Linked DNA regions of Diceros bicornis minor. The protein of the gene in region 3 purifies or fractionates together with the protein of the main gene of each other region. This does not show direct contact. Links are inferred from orthologs where the notes say so. Each region holds a gene or a part of one and is shown on either strand. Other genes may lie near its edges. The genes, in order: KPNA1, XRN2 and CDKN2AIP.

Region 1 (9,473 bases), on a different chromosome or scaffold from region 3:
ACATATCCCTCCTCATGCTGGAAAATCAATGATGATGAGTAAGCAGACTTATCTTTGTACATGAAGGCCAGCATTATTCTTGTTACGTGAAGGAGATTATCCCCCTTATCCACATTCTGGATTATTGCCTGCTTTCAAGAACTGTCCCAGTTAGTCTACTACAGTAGGTCAGAACCATTTTACCACTTAGCTCTGTTTTGTAGGGTCATAACATCTTTAAAAAAAAAAAAACAAAAAAAAAAACCTACCTTTCCATCAGCCTTCATCCGTGCTCTTTCACTGCAGGACCTCAAAATCTGCTAACGCCCTATGTGCCCCTCACCTCTCCCCCGTCCCCCCATGGCCTGGGGCCACCTCCTGCTTACGGCAGCAATAATAGAGTGAAATCAGCCCCAATCAGCTAATTTAATTGTTTACCGTTTCCCATCTTTTCTTCCATTATTATGGCTGAATTCATAATACTCTGCAAAGTACAGAGATCTTAAAACAAAGAGAGCAATAGGGAATTATCTCTATCACTAGGACAGTCATCTTTATTTACATGGCCAAAAGTCTTAATTAATTTTATACAAAGTATTCACATATACTTCTAAAAACAATCTGACAGGCTTAAGCACACAAACATCATAAATCAAGACTTTATCATTAACTCAACAAACACTATGCTAAAACACTGGAGATAAAAAGAATAAGATATAATCTCTACTCTCAAATGAAAGGGAAAAGGTAAAAACAACATCAAGAGCAACAGAGAACAAAGAAAATAGTCCAGGAAACAACTGAGAGCAATCCCAGACTACCTGGTATAATTTATAACATAGGTGAGGCTAAGGAAAATTACAAAAATTGGACACAGCTCTGAGCCTCCTGTCAGCCAAAGTGTAAAGAGAAACAAGATAGCTTACAAAACACAAAAGATCTAATAAAAGCAGTCATTTGTTTAAAAAAAAAAGAAAAAGGCTATCATGGGGTCTTAAAAAGAATCTGTCTCTAGAGTCTCTACTTTATTAAGAATCGATAAATAAGAAACAGTGTCTTGGGTAGCAATGAAGATTTTTTTTCATGTTGCCTTTTCCTATGTACCAATCCTAGATAAAAGTCAAGGTGCAATGGCCAACAGGCACATGAAAAGATGCTCAACATCGTTAACTATCAGAGAAATGCCAATCAAAACTACAATGAGATATCACCTCATGCCTGTCAGAATGGCTATAATTAACAAGACAGGAAACAACAAGTGTTGGAGAGGATGTGGAGAGAAGGGAACTCATACACTGCTGGTGGGAGTGCAAACTGGTGCAGCCACTATGGAAAACAGTATGGAGATTCCTCAAAAAATTAAGGATAGAACTACCATATGATCCAGCTATTCCACTGCTGGGTATTTATCCAAAGAACTTGAAAACACCAATGCGTAAAGATACATGCACCCCTGTGTTCACTGCCGCGTTATTCACAGTAGCCAAGACTTGGAAGCAACCTAAGTGCCCATCAAGGGACGAATGGATAAGGAAGATGTGGTATATATACACAATGGAATACTACTCAGCCATAAGAAACGATGAAATCCAGCCATTTGTGACAACATGGATGCACATTGAGGGTATTATGCAAAGTGAAATAAGTCAGAGGGAGAAGGTCCAATACCATATGATCTCCCTCATTAAGTAGTAGCTAATAACAACAATAAACAAACATAGAGACAGAGATTGGATTGGTGGTTACCAGAGGGGAAGGGGGGAGGGAGGAGGGCGAAAGGGATAATTTGGCACATGTGTGTGGTGATGGGTTGTAATTAGTATTTGGGTGGTGAACATGATGTAATCTATGCAGAAATATAAGTATAATGATGTACACCTGAAATTTATACAATGTTATAAACCAATGTTACTGCAATAAACAAAAAATAAAAATTAAAAAAAAGTCAAGGTGCAATATTAAATCCTAGTTCTGTGGAGAAACTTCTGTGAGGACCTAAAGTAACATAATGCAGTACAGTGACTTCAGGTGAGGCATTTATGTCGGTCATTTAGTTTATTCTAGCTTTTTATAAATGTATGTTTTGTTTCCCTACTAGATTGTAAACTCCTCAAGGCTTATGTTGTCTGATTCCATTTTAACTTCCTTTGCTACTTAGTACTTTATAGTTTCTGCTCAATAAACAAACATAATGACTGATAAAATGTCATGCAGTCAATATTTATTTTCTTTGTTAGTCTCCCCCTACACTATAAATTCCATGAGGACAGGAACAGTGTCTTGATCACGTCCATATCCCCAGTCTCAGGGCACATGATCACTCCATAATTGTTCATTGAACGAGTGGATTAAAGAAAGAAAACACCATCAAGAAATATAAAAGGAGAGGAGAAATCATTCTTAGAATGGCAGTGACTTTGGGTTCGAAGGCTGGTTCCAACAAGGGCTGGATGACCTCAGGTAAGTTACTTCTCTGACCTTGAAAGTTTTCATCTGTAGAACAGGAAAAATTAACATCTACTTCCGAGTTACTGTCAGCATTAAATGTTTTAATATACGTCAAGTATTGAGCACAATACCTGGAAAGGAGCTCAATAAATGTTAATTCGTTTACTTTCTCTCACGTCCTCCATCTTAAAATCACACATTACACATAAAACAGTGCCTTTCAAGAATAAATTATTTCAGTAAAAATATAATCGATTTCATAATCACTTTCATCTCTTCAATCTTTAAAATGAAGGGGGAATAACGTGGATTACTTTCAAAATATTACAAATACAAGAACAAGTTAAGGAAAAAACAACGTCAAGAGTCAGCGTTGAAACAAGAGCGGGGAAAAAAACCACTTACTCATCTACTGCTAAGAAATAGGAGTTGTGAAGAAACTGTTTATTAAAGGAAAAAAAATACTGAAAAAGTCAGTAATATTATTTAATAGCATGTTTTAGAAAAAACACTTCAAAATTGCTTATTCTGAATGTAAACCTTGAAAATCAATTATTTTGAAATCTTTCACTTAAACGTGGAACATTAAACACTCCCATTCAAACCTAAAACACTCCTTCGTGCCGACCTCCCGGACTCCAGTCATCCTCCAGTTTTCTCCTCCCATTTTGAGCTTCATCTAATACTTCGCTGTTCCCCTCGCATCACCACTTACACACGCTGTGTGCAGACGAAGTTCTGTCATTCCTATAATTACCACACCCCGTCAGCCGCTTCGGGCCCATGTTGTTATGACATCTGTAAACTGCAGTCGTCCGTCTCCACCCCGCCCCCCCCAGCCCCCGGCTCGGACTCGGGCCGCAACTTGTGAATTCCCAAGGTGGTCCCTTCCCGCCTCGGTCAGGATTCTTACACGCCCCCCCTGCTCTTCCCTGCCCCAGTCACGGCGCTCCGCGCTGCCCACCCCCGCCCGCTCGCGCCGGGCCGCGGCGCAGGCTCCGCGCTCGCCTCCTCTCCGCCCCGCTGCCTCGGCGCCCCGCAGTCCCCGGCGCCGCGTCCAACCCCGCCGCCGCCCCGCCCCGCCTCGACCGGCGCTCGCTATGGCCCTCGCACAGGCGCTCCCCGCCCCCACCTTCCCCTCCGCTGGCCGCGCGGCCGTTAGGACAGCTGGGCCCGTGACGCACGGACGCGCCGTGGGCGCCCCGGCCCAGGTACCCGAGCTGGAGCGCCCCCGGCGCCCGCCCTTGCCCCGGGGCCTCTCCCGGGTCCCGCCGAGGACTACCGAGCCGCCGGAGGGAGGGGGAGGGGCCGGGCCGCGGGGCCCCCGCACTCACCAGGGTCAAGGCAACCGATCCCGGTGCCTCTGCTGGGGGGAGCCGCTTGCTCGCTCGTCTGCCCGCCGTACCCCTCCCGCGCACAACCTCGAAGAGCCGACCCGCGCCGCGGCGGTGCTCTCCAGGCCTCACTCTCGCCGCCGCGCACCCAGCAGCCAGACCCAGCTCAGCCGGCGTTCGCAGGGCGCCTGCGCGCGGGGACCGGCCCAGGCGCCTGCGCGCGCCCCTCCACCACCCTGCTGCAGAGGCTGCCGGGAGGCGTAGTCTCCCAACCGTCGTCCTCTAGAAGCCTTGAGGTTAGCCTCGAGTCTGTGCGGAGTCGGAGGTCAGGGAGCAGGTCCCGCTGAGGAGGAGGTTCGCAGTCAATGGCCGAGGTCGGAGAATCGTGGTGGAGTGACAGTGAAACGGTACTTCTTAGGTTAAATTGCAAAGTTATGTCTACAAACCTGTCTTCGAAGCTCTTCCAGGGCCGACGGATCTTCTCTCGCCTCTATCTATAGCTAGCCTCTAACTTGGTTGATATTTAAGCCACGTTTGCTGAATGAATGGTGAAACGAAGGAAGGCTGAGGGAGTATTACAAACGTCTTAAAAGTCGGCGCCTCATGTCTAAGGCATTCACATGCAGCACGTTTGAGGAAGCTTCTGGGTATTCCTTCTTTTAGTTCTCTCCCATCCCCTTTGCCTGATAATGTATGAGGAGCATCAGAAATCACTAAGAAATTAAGTGAAACGCAAATACTTGCTTTAACTCTCACTAAATGCTCTCAAACGAAGACTTGGGGCAAATCATTGTTACTGCTAAGTTTGAAAAAATTCTTTTTGGGGAATTTCTTTTTGAGCAGTGGCTTCAAAAGAAGAAAGACCGAAGCCAGCCAAGCAAAGGTCGGGGAATAGAAAGTCTCACGAGTGACATGGGATATCAGATTGATTTAAAACACCCACCAGGAAGCAAGGCGAAAGAGAGGAGGTCGAGTAATACATTTATAAATGCGGGAGAGAGGACCACGCTAGCGGAATCCTGGGCTATGCCATGTTCATTTGTCCTGGAGCTCTTTCGGCTCCATCAGTATTCCCCACTGATGTTGTGTTGACTAGGGTGAGAGGTGAGTTTGAGCAAAGGGGCTGGAGAAAGGGAAGGTGTTCTAAGGCGGGGACTTAGGAGCAAGTATGCCTGACCACAGCTAAATTGAGGACAGATCACTTTATCCCAATCAGAAGCTAAAATTACTCAGAGTTGGACTCTCTTTCTTCAGAGTTTAAGTCTTTGTGAAAGCTAGTTTATTTCCAGTTCACCCTTAGTCCTAGCGAGGGTAGGCCTTGAGAGTCCCAACCAAAAGTGTGGAGTATTTACTAGGGCCTCTCCTCTATGGCTGGGCCTCCTCAACATCCTGAGACCTCGGTTTTTCAGCCACTGCTTTCAGAATTAGCAATCACCTCCGGTGGAAAAGTGATGGCAACCATCAGGCTCGCCTCTCATGGCTTCCCTTTTCTTCCAGATCTTGGACCCACAAGTTCTCACTGCCATGGTAGCTCGTTAATGCCTTAATGTTTTTTATATTTTGTCCAGTTGTTCTCAGTGGCGGTAGGATTTGTTCAAGACAACAACAGTTGCTGGAGAAGAATTCCTATATACATGTTACTTTGACAAAAGTGTTATACCACACATCGTGTTTTATTAGCTAATGTCTCTCTGACTATATCTTTTTGTATTTTGAAAAATTTAAAAATTATAGAACAATAGTTTTTCTGTTACAAGCAATGCTGCTATGAACATTCTTGTACGTATCTTCATGTGTATAAGGAAACTGCTAGATCCTAGGACATTGCATCTTTAATTTTACTAGATGTGGTAGGCAGAATTCTGAGATCGCCCCCATGATCTTTGGCCCCTGGTGTTGCCCTGTATAATGCCTACCTCTGGAGTCAATAAAATATGGCAAAGACGATGGGGTGTCACTCCTTTTATTACATTTCCCTTTATGTCTCTATCTTAGCAGACCAGAGCTAGACACTCTCCTGCTGGCCTTGAAGAAGTGAACCGTCATGTTGTGAACTGCCTATGGAGAGGGCCACATGGCAGGGAACTGCAGATGGCTTCTAGGACCCGAGTGCAGCCTCCAGCTGACAGCCAGTAAGAAGCCAGGCCCCTCAGTCCTACAACTGCGAGGAAATGAGTTCTGCCAACAACCTGAGAGAGCTTGGAAGCCGACTCTTCCCCAGTCAAGCCTCCAGGTGTGAAAACAGACTGACTTATACCTTGGTTGCAGCTTTATGAGACCCTGAGCAGAGAAACCAGATAAGCTGTGCCTGGACTCCTGGCCCACAGAAATTGTGAGATAATAAATGTGTTTTAAGCCACAAGGTTTCTGGTAATTTTTTACATAGCATTAGAAAACTAATATACTAGATATTGCTGAGTTATATGACAAAGCGAAATAGTGTATCAGTTTATACTCCACAAGCAACGTATAAGATTCTGTTTTCTAAACATCCTTGCAAACGTTTGGAAATATTTGACTTTTTTTATTTTTGCCAGTCTGATGGGTGTGAAAATAATAATATATAGTAATTATACACATGTTGTATTTCTCTTCTGTTGCATAAATGCTGTTACTTAAACAAAATAGCAATAGGACTAGCTAAAAGTGGCAACTAGTAATAATTAGTAGAAGGATTAATTAAGCAAATAATATGTGTGAGAAAAATGTAACTATTTTTATAACACAATATTTTTATGTTTCTTTCTGTGTCTGGGTACAGCAATTTAACTCTTTTTTTAACTCTATTGCATATTTAAATTTTGTAGACTATATTATTCTATATTCTTAAGATATGTAAATGTAAGAATTTTTTAAAGGAGAATGTAAATACAATAGAAGTAATTAAACAGATATTACCTATATTAAATAAAAATAACATGTTTCATTCTGTGCTATGATACAGTGGGATATTTTTATTCTTTCAGTTTCCTTTTCCATTAATACTTCTCTGAACTTCTTGGAGCCTTTAGGACATCTTTCTTTTCTTTTACATAATGATAAAACTGAATATAGTCAAGTATAAAATTAATTTTGACTTACAGCTCTGTTCTTCTGCCTGCATTGCATTGATTCCTGTTGTCGAGGTAAATAACACCAAGCTAAATATTCTCTCAACAAAAGTGTTTGAGCGTAAAAAACTTAGGATTTTATTTACTAGCACAGCAGGTTTCTGAACTTGTAGGAATTCCTTTCCAGCTCTCCAAAATGTCTACCCACTTGGTTTCTACAGACTTGCTTTGGTAAACCAGCTGTTTGTCAATCAGGTCCTTTGCATCTATAAATTAACCATATAGGCTCTCCGTATCTAAAATGCCAGTCGTTTTTAAAACACTGCAAAGCACGTTGTATGTTATCATAAGTTAGAACTCCCTTCCCCAAGGAAAATCATTTTAAAACACAGAGGAAATTTGAACTTGTAAAATTGAAGTTAGATTCCAAATAAGTTTACAGTTTTAGTAAAAAAAATTCAGGCAATTCTGTTTAACTTGCTTGCCTTTTTCTAGGGACATTTTTTTACAGTTCTAAAACCGTCTTATTTCTAAAAAGTTAGTCTTTTTTTTTTTTTGTTGGAGTTTCTGCCACAACCTACATATAACATTGAATAACTCAGGTGCAGTTGGTTTATCTTTCTCTAGACTCTTTGTGGCCTCTTCAAGGATTATCAGACAGTTTTGGAGAACCAGCATGTTTATTTCTGTTTCACTGCAATGCTCTCCATTCTCATCCTCAGCATATTTCCAAATTGGAGCAGGACATTATTCTTCTTCCACACTTTGAAAATATGATTTTATGGCAGGCCAACATTTTAACATCTTTTCTGTGGCTGGCAACAATGATAGCCATCTTGCAGGCATATGTTTAAGGAAGCTATCTCCTTCCATTTCTATCAAGTCAAAAATTTCATTAAATGATTCTGCACATTTTGAGGAAACTGAAATGACCAAACACATTATGAAAACCTCCAGATCACAGGTAATCAAACCACACCCCTCTTTTAGCAGCGCTGTGTATAAGGTGTTTAGCAGTTGAGATTGTTTCATTTTCTTTGTTAAGAAGTTTAGAAACTGAATAGAATTTGTCAAAATTAACATTTGCACAGAAAACAAATAAATGAGCCAAGTCTACTTTGTCTTTGGACAAGATGTAACACCATTTGTTTTATGTGTTTGTGGTTTCCTCAAAATCTTGATAGACAGAACTCCATTTTTCAAGTCAAATTACCTTAAGAGCTAGGGGGAACGTTATTTTGAATTAGGAAATGTAACTTTACTCGGTTCCATAGAGCAATCAAACGCACAATACAATAATGCATGTTGGTTCATGAGATATGCCCACGATAATTCAGCAGCCACTATGTTCAACTGAGCATTGGGTCTTTTGGGGAAACAAAACCTTCTGATTGATTTTGAAGTACTTGTCTATCTCATCCCAAACGTATAAGATTCAGTCTCTATATGTGCTTTTACGTCCTCTTGTCTACCATACCCAATCCCAAATTCTCTCCATATTGTACAGTATGCTCTGTTTTTGTTATTTACCTTCCTAAGCCAGTTATTTTGTCCTACCATCTGTCATTAACATTACAGTCATTAAGCTTTCTTTTGCTGTGGTGTCTGGGTCATGCTGCTGTTGGTATTATAATCATTCACATTTTCATTATCTCCACTCTTATAAAACATGGTCACAATATTCACAATGTTAAAAAATTCAACTTGTACAAGGCACAATGGTTAATCCACAGGCAAATCCAAAGATGGACTGCCAGTGCTTATGACTACAACACACTTAAATTGCACACTTAAGTCACATCACTCAGAATGCCGTAACGATGGATGGTCATTATTGTGAACTGCACATCATGGTTACCAATATCAGGGGGCAGGGGAAAAAAACAATGATAATGGCTATAGAAGTCAAATAATCTATGCTATATCCATTTGACACTAAAAGCGGTGTCACTTTCAGTCCCTATTTTTGTGGCTGTCATATGGCTTTTGTACTTTTCCCTCAACCTTCCACATCCATCACAGAAGACAGGGATTTTTTTGTATGTCCTGGGAGGGTTTCCCAGGATGTGGGAATTTGAGTGCTAAAGCCTAGAAGGTCAGGCAAATCAGGACAGTTGGTCACTCTTCCCCACCTGTACTGGCCAGATGTATCCCCTTCATCTGGCCAGTACACTCATTCCCCTACCTGCTGTGAGTGCTGGCTGATAACTCACAGCTGCCCCATTCTCTGAAGACTTGTAGGCCCAGCAGGAGCCAGCTTGCTGGAAGGCTCCCACTCCCACCCTCAAGGACAGACCTAGGCCAATAATTGACATCAGTTCAAAAGACCAACTTTTGCTACAGTGCTCAACTTACTGTAATGGTACAATTTGTGCTCTAGAGCTTTCCCTTGGAATCAGACTGAAGCTAGTCTTCAGCTGAGACCACACTCGGGCTAGCTTTCCCCCTGCCCTATGCGGTATCCCATATTCCCAAGAGTACTTCACCAATAAGTCGCTTGAACAAGAATCCCCATCTCAGGGTCTGCTTCTAGGGAACCTCACCTAGGTTCCAAATTTATTGTTTTGCATTTCCTTAACCAGTTGTCCAAGATCATCGCTTGAGATTGGTCCATTGTTTTCCCAGTGATCTGCAATTTTACCTCTGTCATTCATATATATAC
Region 2 (10,053 bases), on a different chromosome or scaffold from region 3:
AACTAAAAACAGAAACCATGGGATGAATTAAAACTATAAAACATCTCTAAGAAAACACAAGAGAGAATCTTAGCGACCTTGGCTTTGGCAAAGATTGTTAAATACAATACAAAGAGTGGAAATATAAAAAAATATATATAAAACAGACTTCATTAAAATTAAAAACGTCTGTTCTTTGCACTGGTAAGAAGTAAAAAGGTAAGCCACAGAGTAGGAGAAAATATCTGCAAAAGACATATCAACTCGTAAGAAACTCTACAATTCAATAAGACAAACAACCCAACTTAAAAATGAGCAAAAGATCTGAATAGACACCTTGCTCAAGAAGATATACAGCACGCAAATAAGCACCTGAAAAGATGGTCAACATCATCTGTCATCAGGCAAATGAAAATTAAAACGACAACGAGATAACACTAGACTAGAACGGCTAAAACTAAAAAAGACTAACCAGACTAAGTGCTGGAGAGGGAGTGGAGCAACTAGAACCTGCACACATGCTGGCGGCAATGTAAAATCGTACAACCACTTTGGAAAACAGCTTGGCAAATTTTTAAATAATCACACACCTACCACGCAATTCAACCATTTCACTCCTGAGTATTTTCTCTAAAGAAATGAAAGCACATGTCCACACAAAGACTTGTACACCAATGTTCACAGAAGTTTTTTTGTTTAATCGCCCAAAACTGGAAACAAACCAAATGTTCCTTAATCAGGTGAAGGAACAAACAAAATGTGATACATGCACAACATAGACTACTACTCAAAAATAACAAGAAATGAACTATTGATATATGTAAGAACATGGGCGAATTTCAAAATAATTATTCTGAATGAAAGTAACTGAGCCAGGTAAAACAAAGAGTACATATTATATAATTCCATGTATATAAAATTGTAGAAAATGAAAACTTATCTACAGAGTCAGAAATAAATCAGTGGTTGACTAACGACGGGCAGCACAGAGTTGTAGGGAGGAATAACAAAGGGCCAGAAGGAATGTTTTAGAGGTGACGCTCATTATCTTGATTATGGTGATGGTTTCATGGATGTGCACATATCTCAAAATGTATTAAACTGTACACTTTAAATATGTGCAGTTTGTTGTAGGTCAATAATACCTCAATAAAGCTGCAAGAGGAGGAGGAGAGGAGGGGGAGAACAGAGAGACAAAAGAAAAATACATCAGTCTAGGAGGACCAGGATCCAGAGTTCAGAGAGGGCAGTGAAAAAGGAGGTCAGGAAACAATCAAGGAGCATTCCCTAGAACTGAAGAACACACGTCTTCAGCCTCAGAGTCAGCCAAGCACCAATCAAAATAAACTTAAATTTTAAAAAAATCTATACCTAAGTACATAATCATGAACACTTACACTACCAAGGATAAAGATCTTGAAAAGATTCAGAAAGAAAAATAGATCAACTACAAAAGAATGAAAGCAGAACACAGAAATTAAGAGCATGGCCTTCCTGATTTTGACAATGGCTCTGCCGTGTATTAGCCAAGTGACCCTGAGTACATTACTTAACCCCTCTGTGCTTCAGTTTTCTCATCTGTAATAATAATAATAGTAAGTAGTAGTAGTCATGTGGTTGTTATGAGAATTTAATAAATTAATCTATAAAGTGCCTAGAACAGTGCCTGGTATGTGTTAAATACTACATAAGTATCGGTTAAATAAATAAATCACATTAACATTCAACTTCTCATCAAAGGGCTGGCCTGGTGGTGCAACCAGTTAAGTGCGCGCACTCCGCTGCGGCGGCCCAGGGTTCGCCGGTTTGGATCCCGGGCGGGCACCGACGCACCGCCTGGCAAGCCATGCTGTGGCAACGTCCCATATAAAGTGGAGGAAGATTGGCACGGATGTTAGCCCAGGGCCAGTCTTCCTTAGCAAAAAGGGGAGGATTGGCAGATGTTAGCTCAGGGCCGATCTTCCTCACAAAAAAAAACTCATCAAAAATACTGGATGACATAAGTCAAAAGAACAGCACTTTCAAAGATTTGAGGGAAACTAATTTGCAAACTCAAACTTGATGCCTAGCTAATGATCACTCATGTGTACAAGGGTAGAACAGAATCAGAAAACTCACACCCTGCACAGCATTTCTTAAGAATTCAATTGAGAATAAAAACCAAGGAAGGATTTAGGCCAAGAAAGATGATCAGAAAATAGTACCCTCAACTGAAGAAAGGAATTTTTAAAAATCTCAGGAAGCAGCTTTCCAGCAAGCCTAAAGAACCAGGTGTGACAACAACAGAAATAAAGACCTCAAGAAGGAGTCTCCAAGAAGAGGACTTGATAGAACACCTAATAAAACAGCGAGTTTGGATGTGGAACCGTATAAAGAGGAAAACAGAAAGATAACACCAAGAAAAAGACAAAAGTAGCACAAGAAAAGAAACAGTATCACAGCATAACTTGAATCTGGAAAGTGACAATAATTTACAATACTATTTGATTTTTCAGCTTTTAAAACAATCCTATATATAGCCAAAGCCGTGACAATTTAGTTTGGGATGCCAACAAAGCAAAAGTACAGCTGGCAAGCTTGGCGTGAAGAGTAAGAGCAGCAGAGGTAGAAAACTTATAGAAAAGCTAATACCTAACCTTAGAAAGTGAGAAGTCAAGGGATACTTTAAATAGAAGATGTAATAAAAAAGACACATTACTCAAAGTTATAAAGCTTACCAAGAGATGAAATAAAGACAGCGATTTACTATTAGGAATGGGGCGGGGGAGCCGCATAAGTGACGAAATCCTCTTCTATCATAGCTAGAATTCAACAGATAGATCCAAAACCAATAAATCAGGCATAATCATGATATCTAGAGACAGAACCAAAACAGTTAAAAATGGTTATCTCTACAGAGTAGAAACGGGATGAGATGCAAGTAAAGTTTGATGGAAGTTTTAAAAACAAAGGAAACCAGCATTCAGTTTAACAGCTTCTCTTTGGGAAAAACACAAGGAATACTGAAACTGCCGTCAAAACAAGGCTTTCGGTTCCTCCTGGATAGAAGCTAAGTAAAAATCAAGATCTCACCAACCTCAGCAAAAGAATGCAGTTCACTGTGACTGACGGGCACTTCCTTCAAAAACGAAGGGGCGAGGGGCATGAAGCGCCGCTGAACCTTCCCAATCCGGAAATTCTAAGCACAAAATCGAACTCGGACGGGATCACGGGAACGATAAAGAGAAAACTCAATAATGGCCAGAAGTCTACATATACATTAACAAACAAACAACAAGTATTTAAGTGCATCCAGGAATTCTGAAAATTTCAACAAGCATTCTGTCCAGCAGTCGGGGCACCTAGAGAAGGGGGCACTTATGAGACTTCTATCTCGTCCTAGACGTTTCTAAGATGCTGCTTTCACCGTAGGATCTAAAACAGCAACAAAAGTCCTTTCGCACCAGGAGAAAACCTTTCGAGCACGGGCAGTAAACAACAGAAAGCTCGCCGCGGGGGGTTACTTTACAAGGTTGTAAGAGGCTGGAATCAACATGTGCGCCTCGCTACCCAGGTAACTCAGCGGACCAGGCGTGTGCAGCCCAACACCTTCGAGCCTGTTCTGAAACCCAAAATGCGCTGTGCCGAGAGGAAACAAAGCCGTGGGCGGGGCCTTCCGGGCCGGAAAAAGCGGGCAGGGGAGGAGCAGCCCTCCAGCGAGCACAGACCCCGCTCGGCCCTCGCCCCGCCGAGGCTGCTCTCCCAGGGCCCCGGAAACGAGTGTCGGCGACCAACCGCGTGTCGGGCCGCGGGCGCCCGCGGGGCCCACAGAGCAGCGCGGGCCCCGGACGGCACCCCGGGGACGGCCGGCGGGTCCCGAGGGCCGCGGCCCAGACGCGCTGGGGCTCCGGGCTTGCCGCCAGGCACCGCCTCACCTTCTCTTCCACGCAGTTGACAATGATGGACGGGTACTTGCGGCTGAGCCAGCGAAAGAAAGCCGGGACTCCCATAGCGGCGGCGCGGCCCCGGACGAACGAACGTAACCAGAGACAGGCGGGAGCGGCAGCCGCGGCACCGGGACTTCCTCCCACGTGCGCGCCGTCCGGGAAGTGATGTCACGGCGCCGCCGCCGGGGAAGCCGGGAAGGAGGCTCGGGGCCGGGCTGGTTGTGGGATTCGGGGTTCTGCGGCTGACCGGGTGGTGGGGGCTGCGGCTGGCCTCGCTTGCGGCGTTAGCTTTCAGTGGTGCCAGCCCTGAAGCCCGAGGTCGACCTCATGTGAGTCGCGGGGAATCCCGGGATGCGCCGGCGTCTTGCTTCCCCAGCCCTCGGGTTCCACTGGGGCGGGATCCCCGTGCTCCGCAGGCGCCCGGGGAGGTCTTCCTTGCCGGTTTGATCACCTCCTTTTTCTCACCCATCTCAATTCAGAGTAGAATCAAAGCGTCTAAACACACTCATTATTTCTATGGCCTGGTTTCTCCCGGTTTTGTGCCACAGTACGTACTTGGACTATGAAAAGGAATATTTTTAGGTATTTTACACGAATGATGGCTGGTTTGCGTAACTCCCTTTAGTTATAAAAGGGGATCTAGCCGGCATTTAGCATCTAATTCAACCTTCCAGCTACATTTATGAGTATAAAATAATTGCTGGTATCACTCTCCAGCATTTGAGTGCTTACCACGTACTAAAGCTTTGGCTAAGGGATTATCTCATTTAATTGTCACGTGAACCTTCTGAGAGTGTTAACATATTATCATCTTCATGTAACAGATGAGAAAGCCAAGCTGTAAAGGGGTTAAGTTACTTGCTTATCGGGCCGGCCCCGTGGCTTAGCGGTTAAGCGCGTGCGCTCCGCGACTGGCGGCCTCGGTTCGGATCCCCGACGCCCACCGACGCGCCGCTTCTCCAGCCGTGCTGAGGCCGCGTCCCACATACAGCAACTAGAAGGATGTGCAGCTATGACATACAACTATCTACTGGGGCTTTGGGGGGAAAAAATAAATAAATGAAATTATGCTTGCTTATTCATACTGCTGTGTTTCAGTCCAAGTAAAGATCGTTTAATGCTGTCCTTACAGTAACAGGATGCTTTTATTCTTTATTTTCTGATGGCTTCAAATCCTTTTTTTAAGCATATACAAAGAGATCTGGAAGAAGAGATATTTATGTCCATTTGTTCAAGCCTGGAAGTGTTTCTCCATGGAATCCCCTCTTGGCTTGACAAATCACGCTCAGTCCTAAAGGCTCACCTCAAGAGGCCTCTATGAAAGTATTTCTCCGTGCTACCTGGTGTGCAAATATTTACTGCCCCTTCCTCTGTGGTCTGATGCCACTTTAAACTTCTTTAAACTGTTTAAACTGCTGGTGTGGAAATTAAGAGAAATGGTTAGCCCATATTTTACTTAAGGACAGCCAGAACTATTCCAGAGTATTATGTCTATTGTGAAGTCCCTCATTTCTTCTGGAAACAGGCCCTACTCATCAAGTATTTGGTTCCCCTAGGAGGTGCTGTGTTCTTGTAAGACCACACACAAGGTACGTGATTGAACAGCTGGGCAAATTGGGCCATTGAGAGTCCTTGCCCAGCATTTTTGAACTGAGAACCATAGGAAGGTAAGGCAGTCCCTCCCAGATAGCTGAAAGCTGAAAGAGAATGGGACTTGCTGCCAGTCCACAATGAGAGAAGCAGATTTAAGTCCCTGGTTCCAGTGGTTTTTGAGTACAGCTAAATCCCTCTTCCTGCAGCTTGGTTGGTAAACCTATTCTTTAATTCTATGAGCCAGTAAATTCTCCTTTTGTCCCAAGCTAGTTTGGGCTAAGTTCCCATCCCTTGCAAAGGAAAGAATCCAAACAAACCAGTAACAAAATTTGAGGAGTACACAGCTAATTCACCTGGGTGCTAGAATTGCTTTGCATAAAGGAGGTACAAAAATTGGAATTTTGGGCACTGAGAAAAGGGGAGGGTGAAAGTGGAAGTAGAGAAGAGAGGGAACCTGAAAGATGGCAGGAGGATATGGACTAAGTATTGTGAGATACCTTCCCCAGCCCAGTGTTTCTAATAAAGTCTACCAGACTCAGGCTCACTGTGGGGTTTGTGTTGTCGAATTTGAAAAAGAGTATGAGTCTCATGTCGGGGTCACTGTGGTGTACAGTCACAGGGCTGGGCAGCATAGCAGAGCTCAAGAAGCAGAAGAGGTGAGAATTTGTAAGCATTGGAAATTAGCAGGAATATTGAACCAGGCTTTGAACTTCTGTAGGATAGGAACCAGGAGGTTTTGAATCATTTTTGCCTAGACCTCAAGGGAGCAGGGGAGGCCTCCCAGCTGACATCTAGATTACATTAACGTGTAGACTATATAGAAACCAGAATGTGAACATTCATAAATTCATTTTAAAGCCTTGTTAACATTGTAATTATAGAAATGAATCTTTAAAAAATTTTGAAAAAACTATTGCTATCTGGATTATCAAGTGCTTCCTTTGCCTCATTATCTTTACAAAATTCATTGTGAATAACCTGATGTATTTAAAATAATAGTTGTGATAGTTAATTTTATGTGTCAACTTGACAGGGCCACAGAATGCCCCAATATTTGGTCAAATTTTATTCTGGGTGTTTTTGCAAGGGTGTTTTCCTATGAGATTAACATTCTAATTGGTAGAGTAAAGCAGATTGTCCTCCATAATGTGCATGGGCCTTATCCAGTCCATTGAAGGCCTGAACAGAACAAAAAGACCAGCCTCCCTAAGCAAAAGGGAATTCTCCAGCAGACTGCCTTCAGAATTCATCTGCACCATCTGCTTTCCTGGGACTCCAGGCTGCCAGCCTTTGGACTGGAACTACACCATCAGCTCTCCTGGGTTATCTAGCTCACACTGCAGATTTGGACTTGACAGTCTCCCTAATTGGGTGAGCCAATTTCTTATAATAAATCTCTTTATATATATATATATGTATACACACACATACATCCTATTGGTTCTCTTTCTCTGGAGAACCCTGACTAATACAGATTTTGGTACCAGGAATGGTTTGAGAGGAATAGAATCTTAAGAATGCATTTTCTGATTTGGTTCTGGGGCTTCTGGAATTGACTCTCTAATCTGATTAGATTTAAAGACACTGGGGACTATTTCCAGTAATAAAGAGAGCACTGATAGTACATGGTGTGATCTGGCAATAGAGATAGGCAAAATATCACCACTGGATATTCCTAATCAACCACTTATAAAAAGCAAGAATCTGGGTGACCATGTATATGATACTTCAAGCATTTTTGTCAAACTAACAAATATAGTGGGATTGGCTGGTTGCTCCTAACGTTGGTGGACAAAGTGGGGAGAGAAAAGGATGAACTCAGAGATTCAATTTCCCAGCTCAAGCACCACATAAATGACTTAAAAGAATCTATGTCTGCCCTGAAAGAAACCCTTATCCCCTGTAGCCACAGGGCTGAGATGGCTGAAAACCAAACTCAGAACCCTATCTACTATCTCAGAACTTTATCCTGGGAGTGAATTACAAAACAAATTGAATTCCCAGCCTCACTGATGTCTACTGATAAAGTGAGGGCAGTGTTTGGGAAGGAATGGATGGAATCCTAAAAGTTGGAATAAGGACATGTGGGAATACTGATGGAGCTGGGGGCATTGAGACCCTTAATTCTGATTAGTCTTGGACCACTTCCATCATGAAAGGGGCAGCATTTGTTCTTATTGGAACAGACACATGCTGGATACAAATTTGCCTTCCCTTCCCACAATGCTTCTGCCAAAACTGCCACCCGTGGACTAGAATGCCTTATCCACCATTATGGTATTCCAAAAAGCATTGCTTCTGATGAAAGAACTCTCTTCATAGCAATGAAGAACAGCAATGGGTCCATGCTCATGAAATTCACTAGTCTTGCTGTTTTCCCTACCATCCTGAAGCAGCTGGTAGGTAGAACAGTGGAATGGCCTGGTGAAGCCTCAGTTATACTGTCAGTTAGGGGGCAATGCCTTGCAGGGATGGGACAAGGTACTCCAGGAGGCTGTATATGCTCTAAAGCAGCATTCCATATATGGTACTATTTCTCCCATAGCCAAGATTCACAGGTCCAGGTATCAAGGGGTAGAAATAGGAGTGGCACCACTCACTATTACCCATAGTGACCCAGTGGCAAAATTTTTGCTTCCTGTTCCTGTAACCTTATACTCTGCGAACCTAGAGGTCTTAGTTCCAAAGGAAGGAATGCTTCCACCAGGAGACATGGTAATGATTCCACTGAACTGAAAGTTAAGACTGGCACCTGGCCATTTTAAGTTCAACAGGCAGAGAGGGAGTTACTGTGTTGGCTGGGGTGATTGACCTTGACTACCAAGAGGAAATTGGACTGCTACTCCACAAAGGAGGTAAGGAAGGGTATGTCTGGAATATAGGAGATCTCTTGGGGAATCTCTTAGTATTACCATGCCCTGTGATTAAAGTCAATGGAGGGCCGGCCCCATGGCTTAGCGGTTAAGTGCACACGCTCTGCTATTGGCGGCCCAGGTTCGGATCCCGGGCACGCACCAATGCACTGCTTGTCCAGCCATACTGAGGCAGCGTCCCACATACAGCTATGTATGTGGCTACAACTAGAAGAATGTGTGACTATGACATACAGCTATCTACTGGGGCTTTGGGGGAAAAAAAAAGGAGGAGGATTGGCAATAGATGTTAGCTCAGAGCCGGTCTTCCTCAGCAAAAAGAGGAGGATTAGCATGGATGTTAGCTCAGGGCTGATCTTCCTCACAAAAAAAATTAATAAATAAAGTCAATGGAAAACTACAGCCACCCAATTTAGGCAGGACTACTAATGGCCTAGACCCTTCAGGAATGAAGGTTTGTGTCACCCCACCAAGTAAAGAACCAAGACTAACTGAGGTGCTTGAAGAAGGCAAAGGAAATTTGAAATGGGTAGTGGAAGAAGGTAGTTATGAATATCAACTATGGCCATGTGACCAATTATAGAAATGAGAACTGTAATTGTCATGAGTATTTCCTCCTTATTTTGTTATGAATATGTTTGTGTGTGTGTATAAAGCAAATACCTTTGTTTTCTTTCTTCACTTATTCTCTTATCATGTAACATAAAATGTATTGACTATCACGATATTTAAGTATTGTTAATTTTACATAGTAGTATTTAAGTTACGGGGTATCAAGGAGAAGAGTAAACATCATTTAAGGACTTTGCATCTTCTTCTGGTTAAAGAGTTAGTAAGTTTTTGGTTGTACACAAGATAGTTGTTAGGAGAAGTATGAGCTTGTTATTGTCTTTATTTGAAGATGCATATGGGTGCCAGGTTGACAAGGGGTCGACTTGTGATGGTTAATTTTATGTGTCAACTTGAATGGGCTTGGGAGTGCCCAGTTAAACAGTATTCTTGGTAATTCTGCAAGGGTGTTTTCAGATGAAATTAAGATTTTAATTGGTAAAGCAGATTACCCTCATCCAACTGGTTGAAGGCCTGAATAGAACAAAAAGACCAGCCTTCTCAAGCAAGAGGGAATTCTCCAGCAGACTGCTTTCAGAATTCATTTGCACCACTGGCTTGGGATCTGTCTCTCGAGTTGACCGGCCCACACCAGATTTGGACTTGCCAATTTCCATAATCACGTGAGCTAATTTCTTATAATATATCTCTTTAACACATCCTATTAGTTCTCTTTCTCTGGAGAACCCTGACTAATACAATTGTCTTATTTATTTGCAAATTGTCATGTGCATGTTTGCTATTCATGTGAGATAGGCCTCCAATTAACTTCCTTTCCACTCTAAATCAATTTTTCTTGAGTTGAATGAATACTTTTTTTGCAGACTTTTGTTTTTAATTCAAATAAAACAAGTTTAGGACCTAGAAATTAATGTACTTTAGTTTGTTGGAGAAGAGATGCTATTTAAATTAGGAAGTAAGACTTATGAAGCTGTAACAATTAAGGCAATAAAGTATTGGTGCAGGAATAGACAAAGGAACCAATAGAAAACGAGCCCCAAAATAGACCTGCAAATGTATGAACACTTGAAAAATGATAGCAGTTGTACAGGAGAGAAGTGGGGAAAGGGTAC
Region 3 (10,414 bases):
TTAAGTTTTGACTAAGAGTATTTTATCAGCTTTTAATAAGATTGTAGCAAATAAATGTTTACAAATTAAAGTGTTTGTTTTTACACTAAGCAGCTTCCTCAAATTCAAACATATCAAAAGGCTACTATAATTTAAAATATTTTCAATAAACTTTAACTTGAAATAAGCCAATTTAGGAAATTACCAAACCACTTAATTAGATACATTACAGAAATTTATTGTTCTTTCTAATATTCAGCTCACTTTTCTGGCAACACTGTCCTGCAAAATACACATTCCGAAAGTGAGGTAATTCAAGTGCTTTGTTATTGGTTCTCACAACATATAAAGGCAACCCATTGACAGAAGATGGACTTAGCTTTGGTATCCACTTCAACATCCTCAAAAATGAATCACTTTTGAAGGTTACCTGGTGAAATTAAAACCACTCTTGATTTCAAGTATATCAAGTATCCTTGTCTATTATTTCCAGAATATAAAAATAGAAATAACTTCTACATACTTAAATTGTGCTACTTGTGTTCAATTTTCCTATTCCAATACAAATGTAAATGAAAACATGTAATGTAAAAGGTCATTTCTTGATTTTTCTCTGTACATTATCACCAGTACTGCTCAATGTGCAGCATCTAGAAAGCCAGAAGGCCACAAAAATAACGAAACATCTTGGGCCAGAGTTTGAAGAAAAATGAAACAGAATATACCACAATAGAGTAATACAGTCAGAATCACCTAAGACACACAGGAGGATTCCATTTCATTACTAACAAATGTTAATTCAATTGATCAGGCTCATTGAAGAGCTGAGCTTGGCTCTCTAGTCTGCCCAGTTATTCTTCTATGGGATTTGTAAACAAAAGAACCATCTAGTTCTAGATTTGCAAACTGTAACTTCTCTACCCATAAAAAGTTGTATATCAGCTATGAAAAATTACCTGGTTGCAGTTTACAGTGGCTAGTAGTAGGAAGCCTATTTGCAGTAATTGGTTCTGACTTGGGGGGAAAAAAAACACAACTTCTTGAAAAGGTAAAATAGCTTAAAGCATTTAATATCTAAACAAATCAATCTGTTAATAGTAGTAGTCACAAAATATGCTTAATATAGAAACCCACATTTATGTTAAGAAAAAGTGTAAATTGTATTTTACCTCAAAACATAAATTAACCCACTTAAAGAATCTGCAGCAAAATCATGGTGAATTTTAAACAACTTCAGAATAAAATAACCTTAAGTACTTTATACTGCTTTATATCTAAAAAATGCTTACAACTTCTCATAAAAATAGTCTGAGGCAACTATTTTTTCTTTTATTCTTTAAGAGACACGTTCAACATTATGGGCAACATTCTTAAAACCTTAAGCTTCACAAACTTTCAGACATTCAAATACTATGGTCCCCTTTTCTTGGATGTGGAGGTTTATTCAGCTAGAAAAAAAAAATGCATGGTAGACAATACATTTTCACCAAATTGAAAGTACAAAAGTTTTAAGACTACAGAACTACACATCGTACCTAATGTATCATTAAAAATAGAAGACAGTATTTTCTTCAGCAAACGAAAACAGCATACTGGTACGCCGTTAATGCATACTTTTTAATGTGTACTGTCATTCATAAATTATTTACAACTCCTATTGTGTGAAGAGAACTAGAATGTAAATTTTCTGCAAAACTGGAAAAAAGCAATACAAAATTTGTGAAAGCCTGTTTTATATTGTACAAAAGTAAGCCAGTTTTTGTCGTCAAATACCAGATACTGTATGCAGTGATATTTTGGACATATTATAGTAATTCTTGAGGATGTTTTAACGCCGGAGGTAAGTTTACAGGCCTTGACTCTTCATCAAGGAGTACTAGATCTTCTATTTCACTGCCTCTGTATTTCCTTTTACATATTTTTACCACCACCTTTTTCTTGAGAAATAACTTCAGTGCTTCTCTGGATGCAACTGCTTTTGCATTTTCTTTGCTTTTGCCACAGCCAGTGCCCAAATACACAGACTTGCACCTCAATTCACAAACAATACTTTCTTGAGAGCTCTTATTTTGAGGCAGATCTGCCAGTTCTTTTAGCGGGACAAAAAACACATCCAGTGTTGCTTTCAGAGCCTCAATAGCTGCATTTAGGAGCTCTCCGTGATTCACATTGGGACTAAAGCCACCAACAGCTACCAGCTTCCACGCCACCGTTTTATACAGTCTGTTGAAAAAAGGTTGCTTCTGTTTCACATCTTCATTGGTCAACTTGCAACAAGAGAATTTAACAGAACTCTCACTTAACTGTGAAGTACTTTTAGAAGGCAACTGTGATGTGCTAGTCTGAGAACTACTCTTGGAAGCCAGCTGGGACACACTCGCTAAGGAAGCACTTTTGGAAACCAGAGACCCACTGCCCTGGGAGCTGCTCTTGGAAGCTAACAGTGATGCAGCTACCTGCGAAGTGCTTTTGGAAGTCAGCAGCGATGTGTGTGTTGAGGTGCTGCTCTTGGGAGTTAGCGAGGATGTGCCTGATGAGGAACTGTTTTTAGAAACGGATGATGAAACACTTGCCTCTGAACTAGTTTTGGCAGTTACCCCACTTGAAGCTGTCTCTGAACTAGGTTTAGAAGACAACAGTGGCAACTCTACTTCTGAGCTTCCTGAGGAGCCCAACAAGGGCACCTCTATCTCTGAGAGGCTTTGAGAAGCTGAGACTGAAGAGCCTTCCAAAGCACTCTTTTCAGGTGATCCACTTTGTTGTCTGGATTCAGTAGACTGGGTCATATGACTATTCACACTGGATTTCAACAACGAAGAGACAAGCGACGCTGCACCATGTTTATCTGCAGCTTCGGGTTCAGAAGCTTTTCCAGACCCTGCCGCTGCTACCTGAGAGAAAAGGCTGCTGCTGCTTTGGCTGGAAACAGACCGATCTCCATCACTCGTCGAGCTGTTCTGACTCGAGGTACCAGAGCTCCGAGTTGAGTTCCCACTACTCTCGGATTTCACAGATGACCCCGTACACGTTGAGCTGACTTCCTGCTGAGCTGATGCACGTTCTGTTTTGGCAGAAACTTTTGCATGATCTTGCTCAACTGCAGAATTGTTTTTTCCTTCTATGACTCGTTTTTTCGATGGCTCTTCTACCCCTTCTAAAAAGAAAGAAAACATATGTGACTAAGCCTACCTCATACACATCTGCTGAAAATTTACAAGACAAATATTCATTAAAATAAAGGCACAAGGCGAAATATTTCAGGACTAGTAGTTTCTTTAAAAAGTGTATAATAACAAATTAATTTCTTAAAACAGCATTGAATAACATCATTAATTACTAATATTAAGAAATCAGGGCCAGCCCCAGTGGCACAGCAGTTAAGTGGGCGTGCTCTGCTTCAGCCACCCCGGGGGTTCAAAGGTTCAGATTCCCCATTGGACGCAGACCAAGGCACCACTCTCAAACCATGCTGTGGTGGCGTCCCATATAAAGTGGAGGAAGATGGGCATGGATGTGAGTCCAGGGCCAATCTTCCTCAGCAAAAAAAGAGGAGGATTAGCATTGGATGTTAGCTCAGAGCTAATCTTCCTCACAAAAAAAATAAAAAATAAACAGTATAGACAACATTTGACAATTCAAAATCTAAAGCAATCAAAGAAAACTATCAAAATCAGAGGCTAAAATACACAGACACATAATTTAGGTTTAATGTTCCAACTTGATTAATAACATTATATAAATTCTAGCTTATTAAAAAATTAGTAGTAACAGTAGTTCCTAATTATATCAAACTTATGTTCTAAACTCCTATGTATGTTCACATCTATGATCTGCTAACCATTGCTACTCGATATCCCTCTTTTCTTCACCTTGGCAACCAGTTCGTCTCTTGTTGTATGGATTGGAGCATCTGTCACTTTGATGCCTTCAGCCATACTAAGTATTTTATCCATAACTTTTTGAGGGTACCTGAAAAAGAAGGAGTAGACACTTTAAAAATAGTGTTTTTTCTAAGCTACTACTGCTGGTGTGCACAAACCGGCTACAGGAACTGCATTTCCTGGTTGTAATCAAAAAGTGCACCAACCGCCAGGAACTTTCGGTTTCCTGGAAGCCCATCAACAAACGCCCCAAGGTTGGGAGGCGGGGTCCCTCTTCGGCAACTTTTAAATGCAGCGTCCATCCACAAGAGCGTTGTCAGCCAACAGCTCGCCCAGCAGCCCCCACCCATCAGGGCCACCTCCAGACTGTAAATCATGTCGGCTTCGGGCAGAGGCGCCCTTCTCGCGCTTAGAGGGCAGCCGGGCCCGCCGATTCCCGCGCTTCGCAACTTCCCTCCCCGCCGAGGGCTCTGGGCCCCAGCCCGGGGGCGACAGACAAAACGGGGAGGGCGGCTCGGGGGCGCGCCCCCACTCACCGGCACCCGAGGAAGACGTGGTTGGCCCAGGCCATGGAGAAGGAGATGAGCTGCTGCAGCTGCCGCTTGCGGGTCCCGCTCTCGGCGTCGGCCGCGTCCTCCGGGGCCGCGGAGGCGGCGCCGCCCGCGGGGGCCAGGTCGCCGGCGTTGCGGAGCAGGAACTCCCGGCGGTGGCGCCAGTGTTTGTCCGTCTCGCCCTCGCAGCGCAGCGCCTCCACCCAGGCGGCCACCCGCGGGTTCTGGCTCAGGTACTCCGCCACCTCCTGCGCCATGTTGGGCCTGCGGGCCGCGGCGGCCGCGAGCCGGCGCTGCACCGGGAGGGAGCGGGGGCGCGGGGGCGCGCGGCCCTGTCACTGCGGCCTGCACCGGCGGCCAGACAGAGAACGCCCCTCGGGAGGCTCAAACGCCAGACAACAGCGCCCCGAGCAGCCCGAACCGCCCACTTCCGCCCGCCGCCGGCTCCTTCCCTTTTATAACCTCGCCGCCGCCGAGCGCCCGCGCGTCCTTCCGGCGCGAGCCGGCTCTCCCAGCACGCTTTGCGGCGCGGCGGCCCCGCCGGGCGGCGGAGGAACGGGCGCGCGCGCGGGGGGGTGGAGCGGGACGCCAGAGGCTTCGCCGGGGGCGCCTGGAGCCTCGGCGGGGCCCCCGCGTTCCCGCGGGGCTTTGTGACGCCGCGCGCCCCCGCCGCCTGCCCGCCCCGCCCGGGCCGCGGCGGCGCGGGCAGCAGAGGGCAGCCCGCCAAAGTCCTGGGCCGCGGCGCGCGCGTCCGCAGACCGTGCCGCCGCGCGGATGCGGGGGCTGCGCGCCTCCGCCCGCAGACGCTGCTTCTCAGCCGGGCCAAGATCAACAAAAGCTCGCCTCCATGTTTTGATTCTTTCAGAAAGCAGCTTCTGAATGTGGACAAGCGAAGCGTTCCGAGGCCGTCCGGATGGCGGGGCATTTAGGAATGCGGGGGTGCATGTGAACTCAAACAGCAGTCACCATAAAGCTAAACGATTAATGCAGGTCGCCGTTGCCCTGGGGAGTGCAGTCTTTGAAACTCACCCTCGCCCCGCAGGGTTGGTTTCGTTTCCGCAGTTCATCCCGGGCGATGCCCGCCTCGTCTCGCGGCCGTTTTTGGTCAATAACAGGACTGCGCCGTGGACGTTCTGTATCTGTCGTATTTCGTTCAAGTAACAATATCCCAATACCCCCCAACTGCACAAATAGCTAGCAGGCGGCGTGGAAAAGTGCCTCTTTGCCTCTCCCGCCCCAAACCTTTCCCTCCTGGAGCTGTTTTTTGCCTTGCATTTTTCCCCCCTTTTAGAATGTCCACACTTAACGGCATTACTGCCGGTTTGCTTGCTTGTTATCTTTCCAATTTCAGGCATATGTGTACTTTCAGATTAATAAATTTTAATAAGTTAAAATGAGTGATATATAGTAATGATAAATTACAAGAGGAAATTTTCCTTTCACTAAATGTAGATTTTGATTTTAAAATGCTTGAATCATACTAACCAAGCAAAAAAAAAAAAGACAAAATAATGGTCGCTTAGATAAGATTAGCCAAAAAAGATAAGCCAAGTCATTTATATACATGCGAAAACAATAAAAAATTCAGCTATTACATGGAAATGATATTGTCCACTTTCTTGCCATGCCAAAAGAATCTGCATAAAAACATAGGCACAAAGAAATTTTGAAGCTTGGAATTTTGCTTCTGGTTTTCCTTTTCTTCCTTTTCACTGAAAATTGCTGAAACTTTAGAGGGTTGAAAAGATGCAGAAATCTGGCAATTTAAAAGACTGGAGAAATTTCATGGTTTTTTTCCTTTCATGAATTCTTTAGCAAGAGGGAGATAAGCAAGTAAAAGAATCTATGATTACATACCTAGATGATGTTTGTGCATTTTAAACCAAGAATTTTCTCTTTTTTCCTGGTTGCCCTGTAGCCTTCCCACCACGGGCTTCATTGCCTTGAAGGGAGAGCAAAGAGAGCCTGAATTTCAAAAATATTTTTTAAAGTTATAATAAAAGCAATATGGTCTCAGGGTGGAGTTCTTAGTTGTAAGAGCCAGGTGCTTGACAGAAAAGATACATGTATTTTTCTTTTTGATTCTTAAGAAATTGGCTTTGCATGTAAAGATTCAGAACCATAGAGTACTAACCACAAAGTTGAGAAGAAGAACATACATTTAAAAAAAAAAAACGGCTTCTCTCCATAGGAGACAAATTCCTTCCCGGGCTGGAGGAGGGATTTATTTATTTTTTTTTTGTGAGGAAGATCAGCCCTGAGCTAACATCCGTGCTAATCCTCCTCTTTTTGCTGAGGAAGACCAGCTCTGAGCTAACATCTATTGCCAATCCTCGTCCTTTTTTTTTCCCCAAAGCCCCAGTAGACAGTTACATGTCGTAGTTGCAGTATGTGGGACCCGCCTCAGCATGGCTGGAGAAGCGGTGCATCTGTACGGTGCGCGCCAGGGATCCAAACCCAGGCCGCCAGCAGTGGAGCGTGAGCACTCAACCGCTAGGCCACGGGGCTGGCCCTGGAGGAGGGATTTAGAAAGAAAAGGTGAGAAGAGAACTTGGTGAAAATCAGTGGGGGTGGGAATGGGGGTAGGGATGGGCAGTGTTGGCTCTGCCTGGACCTTTGGGAGAAGACAGCCCATTTAGTGCCCTGAGCCAGCTTGGGTTGGCCTTTAAAAGAGTAGGAAAGAGCATCTAGAGGGCCCTTTATAGCTCTGATAACCAACTTTACCACTCCCTTCCTCCCCTGCCACCCCCCCACGCCTTGTCTCTCACAGGCCCTAGAGGAATGCTGAAGTGCTTCCCAGGCACCATGGTCCATATGACTGATGCTGGAGGGGTGGACAGCCCAGGTTTGCAAAGGCGGCTGCAGCTAGTTCTTAACAAGTCATCAGGCCCCTGAGATCCATGTGGGGCCAAATCAACAGAGGAGAGCCCTCCAGCTCTCCTGCAATGACCCTTGTGCACTTGTGCTGGGAGATCCAACAGTGCACTCTCAGTGGATCCCACAGGGAAGAAGGCACAGAATTATAAATTACAGAGATGATGCTAGGATGATACTGAAGCCTCTTCCCCCACCACTGCCGCCACTAGAAACCAGATCAGAGAAGGACAGGGAGAGAATCCTAATCAACCGAGAACTATCCACCACCACTCCCAAACTGAGTTTTAAGCCATAAGCGACTGAATTCTCTTAATTTAACAAGATTAAGTTTTCCATCGCAAGTGGAAGCACGTTCATTAAAACTGCTGCTACATTGTGTCTCTGAAGAAATCCAAAGAACAGTTCCAGCAGCAACCTGGCCTCTCTGCCAGATGGCTTCCCCTAAAGGGCATGGCCCCGGCTCCTGAGGGTGATCATAGCAGCAAGCAGAGGACTAAGGAAGCACTTGGTGTGAAGGTCTGCATGTGGGACACAGAGAGCAAATGCTCTAGTCAATGTCATGGCCAAGGTTATGGCTTGACTTGAGAAGCAGTCCACAGTGAAGGGAAAACGTGTACACAAAAGAGTGTATGAGGTCCCAAGTCAGTCAAATCACAGTGGTGATAAGACGTGGTGTCCTGAAAGTCCAGGAAGAGAATGTTTTAAGGAGAGAGTGGTCCCCTGTGTCAGAAGCTGTGGAGAGATCAAGTAAGAGGGATATTGGTCTTAATGGTCAGATTTGGAGATTGGAACCACTGGCAAATTTAGCAAACGTAGTTTTGGTGGAGTGATGGCGGCAGACTCCATACAGGAGTGAGTTCAGGAGTGGGAAATGGAGACATTTGGCTGTGAAGGAGATAAGAGAGAGGAAGCTGGAGACCAGGGTCATGGGGTCCAGGCAGCTTTTAAATTGAAGATGGGAGTAGCTTGAGCATGCGCATCTGCTGAGTGGGAGGGGCTGATAGAGGGAGAGTTTGAGGATACTGAAGAAAAAGAGGGTAACATAATTTCTGAAGAAGCAAGAGGGGCTAGGATCCAACACACAGGTGGAGAGATTAACGTCAGGGAGACAGAGAGACATCTGCTGCATTTTAAAAGGAAAAAAAGGTTTGTAAGTTTGGGGGTGGGGAATTGAGATGGAGGTCATTTGATGAAGTAGAGACTGCTTGAAATGGACATTTTAGATTGCAGGAGAGCAAGCTGTCTTGGAAAGACATAGTTTAAGTTCTGGCCAATTTTTTAAAAATTATAAATTACACATGCACACAAAAATGAAACGTTTAAAGAGAATTAAAAGGCATAAATGACAGTAAAAATCTCCCTCCCCTGTTGTGCCTGGTCCCACTCTGCATATATCAGATTAATGTCAATTTCTCTCTTTGTTTCTTTGGGTGGTTATTTTTGTAACTCCAAAATATAGGCTTATGTTTCTATTTCTTGATTTTTCAACTTTAAGCAGTACTTATTTCACTCCTGAATGTGAAAGATGATAAATCCATATTACTTACACTACCCCTTCTGTCTCCCAATTTTTGTTAGTTATATTTTTATTGTTCTGCTGTTGGCCACCTTTCATAAATTTAAATATTATACTTAATCTTTAAGATTATTACACTTAATTTTTAAATTCTTTAATCTTTAATTATACTATCATCTTTAGACAGTTAGCTCTTGATTCCCACATCATGTAAGAAGATTCTGGAGGAGAAACCATATGGCACATATTTGGACATTCAAAAAATCTGGCTTTAAGAGAAAATCTAATCCCTAGTGGGGATTGGCAGCAGGTGGAGAATTCTGAATTATTCCTGCTTACCTGCAGGGTTTGTGTCTTTTCATTTTTACATTAAGCCTTAACATTAATAAATGTCAATAAATTTGTTTGCTGCTGTGAGAAATAAGATTGTGACGTTACATCTTTCATGGGGGGTAGTTTCTAAAATCAGCATGTAAATGAAAGTCAGATATGATGTGATTCCGCTTTACCATCTTTTCCTGTGGTGTAGCAATTACTTCAATTTTATAAAGGCCCTTTGGGCATCTAGCGATGTGAAGAAGTAAAGAACTATGGACTTTCTCTGCAGGTTCACAAATTCTATTTTGATTAATTTCAGTTGCAAGTAACAAAAAATTGTGACTTAAAATTGCTTCTGCTTAAACAAAAAGGGAATTTATTGGCTGTGTTGTATATAACAGCCCAGGGAGTAGACTGTGGGCTCCAGGTACTCAAATAATATAATCAGAAAGTCTGTTTCTCTTCATCTCTAGACTTTGCTTTCTCTGTGTTAGCTTCAAACTTGGGCAAGCTCTTCTTACATAGGGGCAAGATGGTTCCCAGCAGCCTATGGCATATACATCCTCCATAGCTTGGCAGCCGCAGTAGAAAGAGAACTTATCTTGCTTGATAGTTTCTGCCAATGTCCTGAGGTTCTGCTGGGAAGCCATTGGTTCTGTTGGGTCATATATATATATCCCTTAAATAAACACTCTAGCCAGGGGTGTGAAATATTGTAATTGTACAGGTCTGTGTCATGTGCCTACCCGAAGAATAATAAAACATCTGTGTAGGGTCAATATCATGCAAGGGAAATAACAAACTCAATAAAACAAAGAATTTACACTCAAGGAAATGGAGATGACATCAATACGAACAGAAGGATCAGCAAATACCAGAAAAGATTTTAAAGAAAAGATGATAGTAAGCAGTTTCAAGTGACACAAGACAATGCTCCTATGGGAGGCCCTGTTATCAGGATGACTTACTTTCCTCCACATCTTAGCCAAAGTGATCAAATCTTTTGATAGCAATTCTTATATTTCTTTATACACTTTTATACAGAGCCATCCTGAAAACAATTCCATCTTTTTAGCCTTCATGTTCCTCCTAATGCCGACAAGATAAAGTATTATTATGTGTAATTTCCCATCTCTTTGTGAAACTCTTGACCTGTGCCTTATCCCAGAATGTGGAGTAAATCTAAGAAAGAGATACGGATACAGATCAAAGTTAGTATTTGGAGAAGTACAGTTCCAGTTCCCATAAGGTAGCAAACTTAATACTGGCTCTTCAGAATCATGGAAAGTTAT

Evidence for each region.
Region 1: the proteins of CDKN2AIP (region 3) and KPNA1 purify together in Homo sapiens (co-immunoprecipitation; 4 studies listed by BioGRID and IntAct, with this or other methods). This does not show direct contact. The link is inferred for Diceros bicornis minor from reciprocal best matches to the Homo sapiens genes CDKN2AIP and KPNA1.
Region 2: the proteins of CDKN2AIP (region 3) and XRN2 purify together in Homo sapiens (affinity purification with mass spectrometry; 4 studies listed by BioGRID and IntAct, with this or other methods). This does not show direct contact. The link is inferred for Diceros bicornis minor from reciprocal best matches to the Homo sapiens genes CDKN2AIP and XRN2.

What each region holds. Positions count from the first base shown.
Region 1 is NC_080754.1:23,341,487-23,350,959, forward strand, and holds the start of KPNA1 (importin subunit alpha-5), read right to left. Parts: upstream 3,912-9,473; 5' UTR 3,762-3,911; intron 1-3,761. UniProt on the Homo sapiens protein: Functions in nuclear protein import as an adapter protein for nuclear receptor KPNB1. Binds specifically and directly to substrates containing either a simple or bipartite NLS motif.
Region 2 is NC_080758.1:47,783,859-47,793,911, reverse strand, and holds the start of XRN2 (5'-3' exoribonuclease 2), read right to left. Parts: upstream 4,011-10,053; 5' UTR 3,969-4,010; coding exon 3,894-3,968; intron 3,451-3,893; exon of another isoform or gene 3,125-3,450; coding exon of another isoform or gene 3,056-3,124; intron 1-3,055. UniProt on the Homo sapiens protein: Possesses 5'->3' exoribonuclease activity. May promote the termination of transcription by RNA polymerase II.
Region 3 is NC_080768.1:15,320,399-15,330,812, reverse strand, and holds CDKN2AIP (CDKN2A-interacting protein), read right to left. Parts: upstream 4,732-10,414; 5' UTR 4,669-4,731; coding exon 4,397-4,668; intron 3,949-4,396; coding exon 3,818-3,948; intron 3,134-3,817; coding exon 1,785-3,133; 3' UTR 1,024-1,784; downstream 1-1,023. UniProt on the Homo sapiens protein: Regulates DNA damage response in a dose-dependent manner through a number of signaling pathways involved in cell proliferation, apoptosis and senescence.